Linked DNA regions of Oryctolagus cuniculus. The protein of the gene in region 1 binds, or shares a complex with, the protein of each later gene. Links are inferred from orthologs where the notes say so. Each region holds a gene or a part of one and is shown on either strand. Other genes may lie near its edges.

The links.
Region 2: the proteins of INHBA (region 1) and FST are in contact, whole or in part, in a crystal structure (PDB 2P6A), measured with the Homo sapiens proteins. The link is inferred for Oryctolagus cuniculus from reciprocal best matches to the Homo sapiens genes INHBA and FST. Residues at the interface, in NP_002183.1 of Homo sapiens: Asp315, Phe327, Asp337, Trp338, Ile340, Ala341, Gly344, Tyr345, His346, Gly360, Thr361, Gly363, Phe368, Thr371, Arg397, Ser400, Leu402, Tyr404, Asp405, Asp406, Gly407, Gln408, Asn409, Ile410, Ile411, Lys412; in NP_037541.1 of Homo sapiens: Trp33, Arg35, Val44, Leu45, Arg60, Phe76, Met79, Asp135, Glu152, Pro154, Glu155, Val180, Val181, Asp182, Gln183, Tyr188, Val190, Arg221, Thr224, Cys225, Arg229, Ser230, Ile231, Gly232, Leu233, Glu328.
Region 3: the proteins of INHBA (region 1) and ACVR2A are in contact, whole or in part, in a crystal structure (PDB 7U5P), measured with the Homo sapiens proteins. The link is inferred for Oryctolagus cuniculus from reciprocal best matches to the Homo sapiens genes INHBA and ACVR2A. Residues at the interface, in NP_002183.1 of Homo sapiens: Ile340, Ala341, Pro342, His346, Arg397, Pro398, Met399, Ser400, Met401, Leu402, Tyr404, Asn409, Ile410, Ile411, Lys412, Asp414, Glu421; in NP_001265508.1 of Homo sapiens: Asn36, Asp53, Lys56, Phe61, Thr63, Lys65, Val74, Lys75, Cys78, Trp79, Leu80, Asp81, Asp82, Ile83, Asn84, Val100, Phe102.

The regions. Positions count from the first base shown.
Region 1 is NC_091447.1:31,701,674-31,705,265, reverse strand, and holds part of INHBA (inhibin beta A chain), read left to right. Parts: intron 1-2,085; 5' UTR 2,086-2,255; coding exon 2,256-2,643; intron 2,644-3,592. UniProt on the Homo sapiens protein: Inhibins/activins are involved in regulating a number of diverse functions such as hypothalamic and pituitary hormone secretion, gonadal hormone secretion, germ cell development and maturation, erythroid differentiation, insulin secretion, nerve cell survival, embryonic axial development or bone growth, depending on their subunit composition.
Region 2 is NC_091445.1:74,276,612-74,280,950, forward strand, and holds the start of FST (follistatin), read left to right. Parts: upstream 1-1,505; 5' UTR 1,506-1,894; coding exon 1,895-1,979; intron 1,980-3,761; coding exon 3,762-3,953; intron 3,954-4,339. UniProt on the Homo sapiens protein: Multifunctional regulatory protein whose primary function is to antagonize members of the transforming growth factor beta (TGF-beta) superfamily including activin, myostatin, GDF11 or bone morphogenetic proteins (BMPs).
Region 3 is NC_091434.1:94,321,535-94,325,126, reverse strand, and holds part of ACVR2A (activin receptor type-2A), read left to right. Parts: intron 1-1,714; coding exon 1,715-1,922; intron 1,923-3,592. UniProt on the Homo sapiens protein: On ligand binding, forms a receptor complex consisting of two type II and two type I transmembrane serine/threonine kinases.

The DNA.
Region 1 (3,592 bases):
TTAATGGCACTGCAAAATGCTTTGGGTACCGTGTCTGTGACTACACATAGGTGGGTGATGTTAAGTATTATAGTACAGCGAGATTTATGAAACCATTTTAACAACTGCCCCTACTCTCCTGTCCCCTCTCACCACCCCCCACTGGGAAGAAAAGGTGGCTTTTCAGGCAATGTGGACAAAGTTTTAACAATAAGAGCAAAGTAATGGATGTTTCTGGAGCCCCAACCCCAAAGGTGTTGAATGGCTTGCCACAGAGACTCCTTTTGGAAAAGGGGGCAGTGTGGACAATTCAGAAGAGCGTTGCTACCTCTGCAAGCTGTGATTTTAACTCAGTGACAGCTTTTTCTCCCTCTTTACACTCAGATCTTAGACTTGTAGTGAAGGTGCTCATTAACTCTTTCTGCTCCAAACCGCCTGGCTTAACTAGAATGCTGCGAACACACGGGGTGTCAGATAAAAGCTGACAGTACCCCCAGAAACCACGAGGGCTTCTGTGTGGCAAAGCAGCAGAAAGGGAAGGGAAGCTTTAACAGATGGACCCCTTAAAGATACTTCTGCGAGATAAAAGCAATAAGACGGAAAATGAAAAAGGGGAGGGGGAGGAGGGAAGGAGACTTTTTTAAAAAAGCCTCGGAAAGGCATTGTTTAAGAAGTCACATTTTTCCTTTGCTGTGAACACTAAAATCCACGATGATTTCATCTGTGCTGTTCCTCTGAGGGAAAGAGCAGCCCTGGAGGAGGCTGTCCGTGCACGCGCTGGTCGGGACGGGCTGGGGGCAAGCTGAGCAAACGACCACGTGACAGAGAAAAACAATTTGCCAATATATTTCGGGGATTCTGTTCCCCTCGGGCCAGTTAGTCAAGTCAGAGGAGTGCGCTCCCTTTGTAAGAGAATGTGGGAAAGGCCAAAGGCATCTCGCGTTTTCCCGGTGCAGTCGGGACGCAGCGGTAGCTGCAGGCGCGCGCCCGAGTGCGTGCAGGGCACCGGCGGGCGGCGGAAGCGGGGCGCGGGGGAGCCCCTCAGGTGGCCCCGGCGGGCGCGCCGCGCGGAGCCCTCCCGCACAGCGCCGCCGGCGACGCACGGCCGCTCCTCCGGCCCGAAACGCAAGTTCCGCGGGCAGAGCCTCGGGTCGCCCGCCCGCGGGGCCGACCCCGAGCACTTCCGCAGGAATGAATGGGAGCGGGGAAGGTCTCCCCCGCACTGCCCGGGGCCCCGCCGTCCAGGGCCGCGGGCGCTCCTTCGCCCCGGGCCCCTGTCCCCGCGACCTCCGCCACCTGTCAGCCGGACCTCCTGGCTGCCTCAGCCCCACCTGACCGCCAGGTGGGCGTGTGGTCGCCCAGGGCTGCGGCGAGGTCGGGGTGGGGGGAGGGCGCCCGGGGGCGTGGGGGGGGCGCTACTTGAATGGAGCCCTCCCAGGGGATGGACACCGTGCGTTTTTTTTTTTTTTTCTTCCTCCCTCCAAAAAAGGAAGAAGGCGAGGCCAGGGCATTGGGGCAGACAAAGAGAGAAAAACCAAAAGTGAACAAAATTAGGGGGATTTGTTTCAGAAGGGAAAGTAGGAGCCCGAGGAGGGTGCTGTTTGCAGAGAGGTGTGTGAGAGAGCTGGGAGCAGAAGCGAAGCAGCCTGCCAGGGAAGGCAGCCCCTCCCTCCCTAATCACAGCCTCTACTCACGGGCTCCCTCCCTCTCCCATTCACTCACTCACTTAGGGCCAATCCGTTCTCTCTCTCTCTCTCCCTCTCTCTCACTCTCCCTCTCTCTGCCTCCCTCCCTCCCTCTCTCCCTCCCTCACTCTCTCTGTCTCCCTCTCCCTTCCCCCTTCTCTCCCTCTCTCTTCTCACCCCCTCTCTCCTCTCTCCCTGTCTCTCTCTCCCTCCCATCCTCTCTCTGTCTCTGTCTCCCCCCCCACCCCGTGTCTCCCTCCCTCTCTCTCTCCCTCCCTCCCTCCCTCCCTCTTTCCTTCTCTCTTACTCGGAGACACTCAGAACTCTCCTCCCTGACAGCCACAAACCTACGGCACTGACTGCATTCAGAGAGGGAACCTGCAAACAAAACTTCACAGAAAACTTTTTGTTCTTGTTCCAGAAAATTTGCTGAAGAGGAGAAAGAGAAAAAAAAAAAAAGGAAAAAAAAAAAAGCACACCACCACCACTACCAAAAAAAAAAAAAAAAAAAAAAAAAAAAAACCTGTGCGAGAGGGGGGAGGAAACGCAGGGCCTTTAAAAAAGGCAATCACAACAACTTTGGCTGCCAGGATGCCCTTGCTCTGGCTCCGAGGATTCCTGTTGGCAAGTTGCTGGATTATAGGGAGGAGTTCCCCCACGCCAGGAGCCGAGGGGCACAGCGCGGCCCCCGACTGCCCGTCCTGCGCGCTGGCCGCCCTGCCCAAGGATGGACCCAACTCGCAGCCAGAGATGGTGGAGGCGGTCAAGAAGCACATCCTAAACATGCTGCACTTGAAGAAGAGGCCCGAGGTCACGCAGCCGGTGCCCAAGGCGGCGCTTCTGAACGCCATCCGAAAGCTTCACGTCGGCAAGGTGGGGGAGAACGGCTTCGTGGAGATCGAAGACGACATCGGGAGGAGGGCAGAACTGAATGAGCTGATGGAGCAGACCTCGGAGATCATTACGTTCGCCGAGTCAGGTGGGTGCTGGCATCGCGGGGCGCGCGGGCTCCGGCTCCCACCGTCCCGGGAGGAACTTGGCGCCCTCCGGCTGCGAGCGGCTCCCGGTGTTCAGGCGCCGGCAGCGGCCGGAGGGGAGGCCGGGGACCCGGGCCGGAGGACTTCTCAGAGGGGCGGCTCCGGGCTGCGCGGCTGGCGCTCGCGCAACTCCGCCGGGCACGCGGGGCGGACGCTCTTGGGCCGGTCTGTCGCTGGAGGCCGCTCTGAGAGGGGCGCGGGTCCCGCTGGCCCGACGAGAGCCCGGGGCGGGTTTGGGGGCTCGCGGAGCAAGGAGGCTTCCGGACCCCAGCCGAAGTTCGTGATGGGGGAGGGGGTGAGCGTGCCCCGGCACGGATGAAGTCATTGTCTTAAGCAAACCCTTTCTCCTTTAAAAGTCCCATCTGGGTCCACATCAGAGAGGCAGGGCGTGTTCGTCAGTGACAGTCACTTTTTATGTTTAGAAACTCCCTCTGTAAGCGCACGGGCAGCAGAAACCCAGTTCTGGGGGGCAGTGGACTCTGAACCGGCGGTCAATTTTGGAGTACTGACTTTTGCTCTCTGAACTCCCAAAATAAATAAAATAAAAAGAACCACCACCACCACCCCCCAACACACACACCAAAAAAAAAAAAAAAAGTTTGTTCTCTCTGAAGTTACCAGGAGCTCTCTTGCCAAGGAATGCAACCTTGACAAAAGTGCTCTTAGCTACTACATTGAACTCTCACTCAGTCCTGAAGAGGAAGAACTTCAGTAACTAGATTCTAATCATTGGCCCGGGACCACACCAACCTGTTGCTGAATGGAAAATACCTGTGAGAAGTATGGGCCATGAACTTGGAGCCAGGCTCAGGTTCTTTTTACAGTTGTGGGATGCACATCCCTCTGCATGCCTACAAGCCCACGCCTGCCGGGCACACATGCTGGGCACAC
Region 2 (4,339 bases), on another chromosome or scaffold:
GCCGCGGGGCTTTGTGATTCATGCGCCCACTTTCAAAGGGGGGCTCGGGCCCGTCTGAGAGGCACCCAAACAACTGTCTTCTAATATTAGCACGGCTGTACTTCGGGATCTATTATAGTCTGTCCAGACAGATCCCATTGTAATGGGATCTTTTATTAAAAGATTAGCACTATCTCCTGCAGTTGGTGGAAAAAAATCTGTTATCACTGAGTTATTTGCAGTTGTGGAGGGGGTGGGAGGGGGGTGACGGAAGATGGGGGTGGGAGGGCCTGGGGAGGACTGGGGGAGGGGGGCGAAGGAGGGGCGGGTTTGAAATCCGTAGAACAAATCCCAGTGACCTGCGAATGTCCAAGAATTTTGTCTGCATACTTCGCTGTCTGTTGTCCTACGGGCTGGAGAAGCGAAATGAATAGCAATTTAAAAGGCAGCTTTGGAATAAACAATATAGCCTTTTCCGTGAAGTAATCGCTTTATATAAAAGGAAATATCGCCTCCTCAGTTTCATTCAGCGGTGCCAAAAATGTTATAAATGAGAGACCCGCCAACTTCCAGTGAAGAATGCCAGGCACTGTACTTAATAAACTGAGGCTACAGAAGTTCATTATCGATGTTGCAATCTTTTTTTATTCGCGGGGGGGGGGGGAGGGAGAGAGAGAGGAGAGAGAGAGAGAGAGAAGAGAGAGAGAGAGAGAGAGAGAGAGAGAGAGAGAGAGAATCGAGTCTGGAGCCGAGCTGGAGACGAGAGAGACAGAGACGCACAGGACAGAAACTAGGGGAGTCGCCGAGCGGGGAGGAGGGGGCAGACCGCCTACGTCGGCGCCCCCGCTCGGGGCTCCGACTCCAGACGCCCGGGAAGTGAAAGGGGAGAGAGAAGAAAAGGGACAGGGCGAGACTGCACCGGGGGGGAGGCCGTGTCTGAGGTGTTAAACATTTTTGTTTGCTACTCGTGGAGACCCGGGGCTTGCGTCTCCGCGCTGCTCCGCCAGGGTGGAAGGTGCCGGGGCCGGGGTTCCCAGCGACCCCTCAGGGCCGAGAGCCGCCGCCGCCGCCAAGTCCAGCACGCACAGACCCAGACACAAAACCTCCCGCCGGGTCCCCCGCGCCCAGGCTGTACGGGAGGCTGGCAGGGTCCGACCCCACCCTGAGCGAGCGAGGGCTCTCCAGCAGCCCGCGGCTCTCCCGGCGTCTGCAAAGTCTTTTGCCAGAGCCGAGGAGCGGAGAAGCAGCGGCGCGGAGACCAAGTGCCGGCTTCCCCGCTCGGCCCGCCGCCCGCTCCAGCGCCCCGCGGCGCACACCCGCACACACACACACACACACACACGCACGCACGCACACACGCCACCCCGGGCGCGGCGCGCTGCCCGCAAGCGGCGGCGTGCAGGACATGAAGTGGGTGTTCTTCCCCGCTCCCCACCCCCGAGCGTCGCCCCCACCCCCCGCCCCGGCCGCCTGCCCCCTCCCTCCCGCTCCTACGCAAATAAGAACTCGGCGATTCCCCTCCTGCCGCTTTGATTTCGGGCACCTCCGACAGATAACTGGGAAGGGTTTCCAGAAGGTGGGAAATGTCACCTGATTCACAGTGAACTTTTAAAAGCTCCCCACCCCCAAGGAGCCGCGCACACCCTCGCTCGAGGCCGCCCTCCCACAGCCCCACACACTGGGAGACCGCCCACCGCAAACCGCGGAGACCCCCGTCTAGATTTAAAGCGCGGCTGCGCCCGGCTTCTGACGTCCATTGAATCGCGCGGGCGGCCGGCTGTGAGCGCGGGGCTGCGCCCGGATCTCTGCGCCCTCCGCCGCTCGCCTCCGAGACGCGCGCCGCTCGCACCAGCCGCCCCGCCGCCGCGCCCGCTCCCCGCGCCGCCGCGCTCCTCGCCCCGCGCCTGCCCCCAGGATGGTCCGCGCCAGGCACCAGCCCGGCGGGCTTTGCCTCTTGCTGCTGCTGCTCTGCCAGTTCATGGAGGACCGCAGCGCCCAGGGTAAGCGAGGGGAGGGGGGGATGCGCTGGGCAGGCTGGGCTGAGGGCAGGGGGCTCTACTTTTCTGTGGTCTGTTCGCCCCAACGCTGCTCTTGGAAGATGTTGGACCAAGTTAGCGACTCCGCGATGGAGAGCAGTGGGGAAACACCAAGGCAGTGACACTTTGGGACCGGCAGCGGAGTTGGGAGCTCGGCTCTCCTTTAAAAGGAAAAGGAGCAGGCTGGAGTCTGCCTCAGTATTAGGGTTAGATGCTCCGAGTTCTGGCCGGGATGACTTGAGATGGTATCTCCGGGGTTGGGGACCAGCATCAGTAGTAGCCTGCGGATTTCGGCCGCCCGGTTTGCAGTCTAACCTCTGTGCCTCCCACGTCTTTTGGAGACTTTTTACAATGACCTGGGGCTGCGGAGACACTGAATTTTCTCCGGTGGCTTGGGGGACGTGGTTTCAGAAAGTTTGCCCAAACTTGGAAATGTGGGTGCTGAAAATTTTCGAGGGAAGTAGCTTTCTGCCTAATGGATGCTTCTTCCAAACCCCCTCCCCCAACCCCGCAAAAAAAAAAAAAAAAGTCAAATTATTACCCGGGAGTGTTGTGAGTTACTTTACAGTTTTTTTTTTTCCCTCTTCTTTGCTTCATTCCTCGGACTGTTAACTTTTTGTAAAACAGCGAGCAGCCCACAACTGATTTAAATGCTAAGCTGTATCAAGAGTAAATCTCTTAAGTTTGTCTTGTAAAAATAGCTGTTTCTTTCCATTAGTCTTGGGCAGAATTTTTAAAATAATACTAGCAGCCTGTGGTCCAGTTATTGTTAAAGTCTTACTTCCTGAACCAAATCTGGGTGTTAAAAGAGGGGAAGGGGGAGAGATTCCTTGCACAGGTTTCTTCGTGCTAGGTGGGAGCTAGGTGTACGGAGCCGGGACCCGGCAGGACGCTCGCCCCGGGCCGAGGTGCCCTGCCCGCGTGAGCGTGAACGTTTCCAGGGTGTGAGCGACCCCGCCGTCTGCACCGCCCTGCGCCCGGCTGCCCGCGTCCAGGGACGTGGGCGCCAGGGAAAGCAGCCCTCGGAGATTTCGAAAGCTCCCGGTGGCCGCGGGCGTGCTCAGGGGCGGCGGATTGCAAAACGGGCCCGTCGGGCGGGCTGCGCCTCGAGGCCGCGCGGGGCAGCTCCGGATTGCTTTTTTGCTTTCATTTTTCGCAAGTGCCTTTTTGCTTGATCTGTTCCTGCGCGTGCGTGCGTGTGTGTGTGTGTGTGTGTGTGTCTCCTTCTCCTCTCTCTCCCTCTCCTCTCCCGTTCTCTCACTTTCTTAACCCCTGTCACAAATAATTCCCGTGCCGCCTACATGAAACCAACATGTAAAAACATCCGTCGCATCCTGTTTTTGTCAGGTTCTTTAATCTGCCCTTCGAGTCGCTGCAGGTTATGAAATGGGACGAATAAAAGTAAACAGTCTAGTAAAAGTCAATGCAAGCTGCACGTGTTGTGTCTGGGTCACTGGTTAACTGACATTGATATGGCTGGGGCGCTCTGGCTTCTGCCTCGCCCTGCCTCCCCTCGTCTGCCCCCCACCTCTGGGATCAGGGCTTCCCCCCCTCCTTCCCAACCCCTCCACCCCCTCCTATTTATTTGCCGCGCGTCTCCCCCGCCGCGCGCCCTGCCCTCCCTGCACCACGCTCACCCCCTCCCCACGCCCGCCGTGTCGTCTGTGCTCGCTCGCCCGCCGCCTCCCTCTCCTCGTCCCCCGCCGCTCGCCGGCGCATCCACCTCCCACCCCCGACTCTTCACAGCTGGGAACTGCTGGCTCCGCCAAGCCAAGAACGGCCGCTGCCAGGTCCTGTACAAGACCGAGCTGAGCAAGGAGGAGTGCTGCAGCACGGGCCGCCTGAGCACCTCGTGGACCGAGGAGGACGTGAACGACAACACGCTCTTCAAGTGGATGATCTTCAACGGGGGCGCCCCCAACTGCATCCCCTGTAAAGGTGGGACTCTTCCTCCCCAACCTCAGGCCCTCAGCAGAGGGCGTCTTACCCTGGGCTTCCCCACTACCTACCTGGGGGGGGGGGGGGGGACTGGAACCAAGAGAGCTGTGTGGGTGGGCTCCTCCTTCCTACGCCCAGCTCTGAGACGCCATTGGGAGCCATTCCTGCCTGTCACAACTCTTCGCAAAACAGAGTCCGCGGAGGTCCCCGGACTTCTGAGCCACGTGTGGAGACAGATTTGGGTATGGGGCCCTGCCCCCCTCCAACCCACTAAAAGAGGGCCTGGGGGCTCCTGAGAACAAACTCAGAGCTACAGGATTGCACAAGGCACCAGCACGACCTCCGGGCTGACCTACGGACCGCCCGGCCCTGGTTGTAATCCCTAC
Region 3 (3,592 bases), on another chromosome or scaffold:
CTTGAAGTAACAGGTCCACCTGGCTCACTTCTGGGAACTCAACTGCTAGATAACCAATTCTTAATAGCTGTGATTTGTTGAGTATACAGTGTGGTTATGTAAAAGCTGCTTCTTGAAGCAGCCATTGTACTCCACTCTGCAGGAGAATCATGTTTGCTTACTTCCTTTTTTGTCATACAGAATATTGAAAACTCTACTCAAGGGTTGAGACTTAATAAAATTAACAAATTGTGCTTTTCATCAAGGACATTCTTTTTTTTTTTAACTTTTATTTAATGAATATAAATTTCCAAAGTACAGCCCATGGATTACAATGGCTTCCCCCACATAACGTCCCTCCCACCCGCAACCCTCCCCCCCCACTCCCTCTCCCCTTCCATTCACATCAAGACTCACTTTCGACTCTCTTTATATACAGAAGATCAGCCTAGCATACATTAAGTAAAGATTTCAGCAGTTTGCTCCTACACAGAAACATAAAGTGAAAAATACTGTTTGAGTACTAGTTATAGCATTAAATCTCAATGTACAACACACTAAGGACAGAGATCCTACATGAGGAGTAAGTGCACAGTGACTCCTGTTGTTGACTTAACAAATTGACACTCTTGTTTATGGCCTCAGTAATCACCCTAGGCTCTTGTCATGAGCTGCCAAGGCTATGGAAGCCCCCTGAGTTCACTGACTCTGATCATATTTAGACAAGGCCATCGCCAAAGTGGAGGTTCTCTCCTCCCTTCAGAGAAAGGTACCTCCTTCTTTGATGACCCGTTCTTTCCACTGGGATCTCACTCGCGGAGATCTTTCATTTAGGTCCTCCCCCCCACCCCCCCCGAGTGTCTTGGCTTTCCATGCCTGAAATACTCTCATGGGCTTTTCAGCCGGATCCACATGCCTTAAGGGCTGATTCTGAGGCCAGAGTGCTGTTTAGGACATCTGCCATCTCATGTTGGATCATTCTCTCCCTTTTTTATTCTCTCAGCTAGTATTTGCAGACACTATTCTTGTTTATGTGATCCCTTTGGTTCTTAGTCCTATCATTATGATCAATTGTGAACAGAAATTGATCACTGGGACTAGTGAGATGGCATTGGTACATGCTACCTTGATGGGATTGAATTGGAATCCCCTGGTATGTTTCTAACTCTACCATTTGAGGTAAGTCAGCCAAGGACATTCTTAAGTGAAACTGGCATTGTCCAGAGAAATCTTTGGAAATATTTGGTCACTTCCCATTATTATTTTCATACTTAATATAAAGAGATTAACCTGAAGACCTAAACCCAAAATTGTAACACTGGGAAGATGAGATTTTTAGGAACATCTGAAGTTGCTATGTTGGAAGACAAACTCTTATTTAAGAGCTAATATATGGGGCCAGTGCTGTGGCATAGTGGATAAAGCCGCCACCTGCAGTTCTGGCATCACATATGGGCACCGGTTCAAGACCCAGCTGCTCCACTTCCCATCCAGCTCTCTGCTATGGCCTGGGAAGGCAGTACAAGATGGCCGAGTACTTGGGCCCCTGCACCCATGTAGGAGACCTGGAGGAAGCTCCTGGCTTCTGCTCAGTGTAGCTCTGGCCATTGCGGCTATTTGGGGAGGGAACCAGCAGATGGAAGACTTCTCTCTCTAACTCTTGCTTTCAAATAAATAAATAAATCTTAAAAAAAAAAAAAGAGCTAACATAATACATTGTTTTATTGTCTTATAGGTGCTATACTTGGTAGATCAGAAACTCAGGAGTGTCTTTTCTTTAACGCTAATTGGGAAAGAGACAGAACTAATCAAACTGGTGTTGAACCCTGTTATGGTGACAAAGATAAACGGCGGCATTGTTTTGCTACTTGGAAGAATATTTCTGGTTCCATCGAAATAGTGAAACAAGGTTGTTGGCTGGATGATATCAACTGCTATGATAGGTAAGGATGCATTTTATTTGTTAAGATAGTCTTAAGTAATTCTCATCACTGTCCCCTTTTTAAAGGAGAAAAAAAGATTATGAAGAGTTATGATATATTCTGTTGATAAAATATATTTAAAGAAGTAAGATAAACATGGTATACTTATATTTATCTTTGATATTTTTGAATAATCTAAGAAATGAGAATTTTTAGAAAAGAATCACTTTCCCTACATTGTTAGGTCTTTACTTTTTAATGGCAATTTTAAGGAAGAAAGGACTTTTAAAACCACTTTAAAAGAGAGTGTATCTGTTGGAAAATCTATCCTCTTGGAGAATAAAACCTAATTGTAGTATTTAATTTTAAGTTTCCTTCATTATGTATCTGGAAGAAATTGATTTTGTTACACCATGCCCCCTTTTTTTTCTTGTGGAGGAGGCCTTTGTTCTTTACCCCAAGAGACATTTTAACTTGACATTCAGAATTACATCAGAACACAGAGTCCCTATAGAAAGCTACATTTTATTTAATGTACATTGTTTGAGTTGTTTTATTCTGTACTGGAAATAAAATACAGTGGTCATGTTATTGACTGCCTATGTTCTCTCTGTAAAGAGTCCCATAGATGTTGGGCTGATCGCTTCAACTGTTTGGGCCACAAGATTTCCACTGCGGTGGGTGCTGAAGACTGACATTTGCACCCAGAAAGTGTTGCTGTATACACTGGATTGTAGATACTGTGGGTCTACTTTTAGGAGCCTGAATTGTTATCTTTAAATTGTGATTGGTTAGCTGTAACGGATAGAAAAATGCATTTACTGAGCCCATAAAAAATAGTTCTACTTTTGTTGAGAGATTAAAACAGTCATTTAGATATATATTTAGTTTTTAGGATATACTTTTAAGTCTGTGAGTTTCCCAGGGATTATTCCTCTATAATTATGTTTTAGCTGCATTTCTGATTAACCCCTCTACTAACAGAAATGGTCATCGGGTGATATGTGGTATCCTGAAAGGTAAATAGAAGAAATTCAGAGGGGAAGGGAGATGAAATTTGAGAGTCATGTTTGTCCAAAACTGTCTTCATGAGTTGAAATCAAGAATTCTTACCTTTTGTGGTGAAAAATTACTAAAAACAGTATTTCATTTATGTGAACTGCAGGCAGTGGTGAAAAGGGTACTGAGCCATTTTCCACTGGAGATCTGGATCGGGGAGTGCATTATTCAGTGCAAATGTTTGCTGTTGGAATGATAATTACTTCAACAGCTTTGTTTTGGGGGATTGAAGGCTGATTTAAAAATAAGTGAAATTTTGGTTTTATGCTCTGGTTTTGATTGAACAGTAATACAGATAGTAAGAGCAAGAAAAGTCAAAGAATGTCAATGTATGAAAGAAAAGGTAGTAATAAAAGATGAAATTGGATAGTGAAAGGTAATTCTTTTCAATTAGTTATTTAACTGTTCATCTACAATTTGAGGTGTGATTCTAAATATTTTTAAATTTATGCATTTATATTTATAAATTAATATTTAGCTTTGATTTGTTTTATCTTTTGGCAACTAGGTTTTTGTATACTCATAGGTTATATTTTAAAATTTCATTTGCTACAACTACTGTCTCCCTCATGTTTCTTGAGCTTTTCACTTAGGAGTTGAGTTCAAACTTATTCTAATAATCATCACAAAAG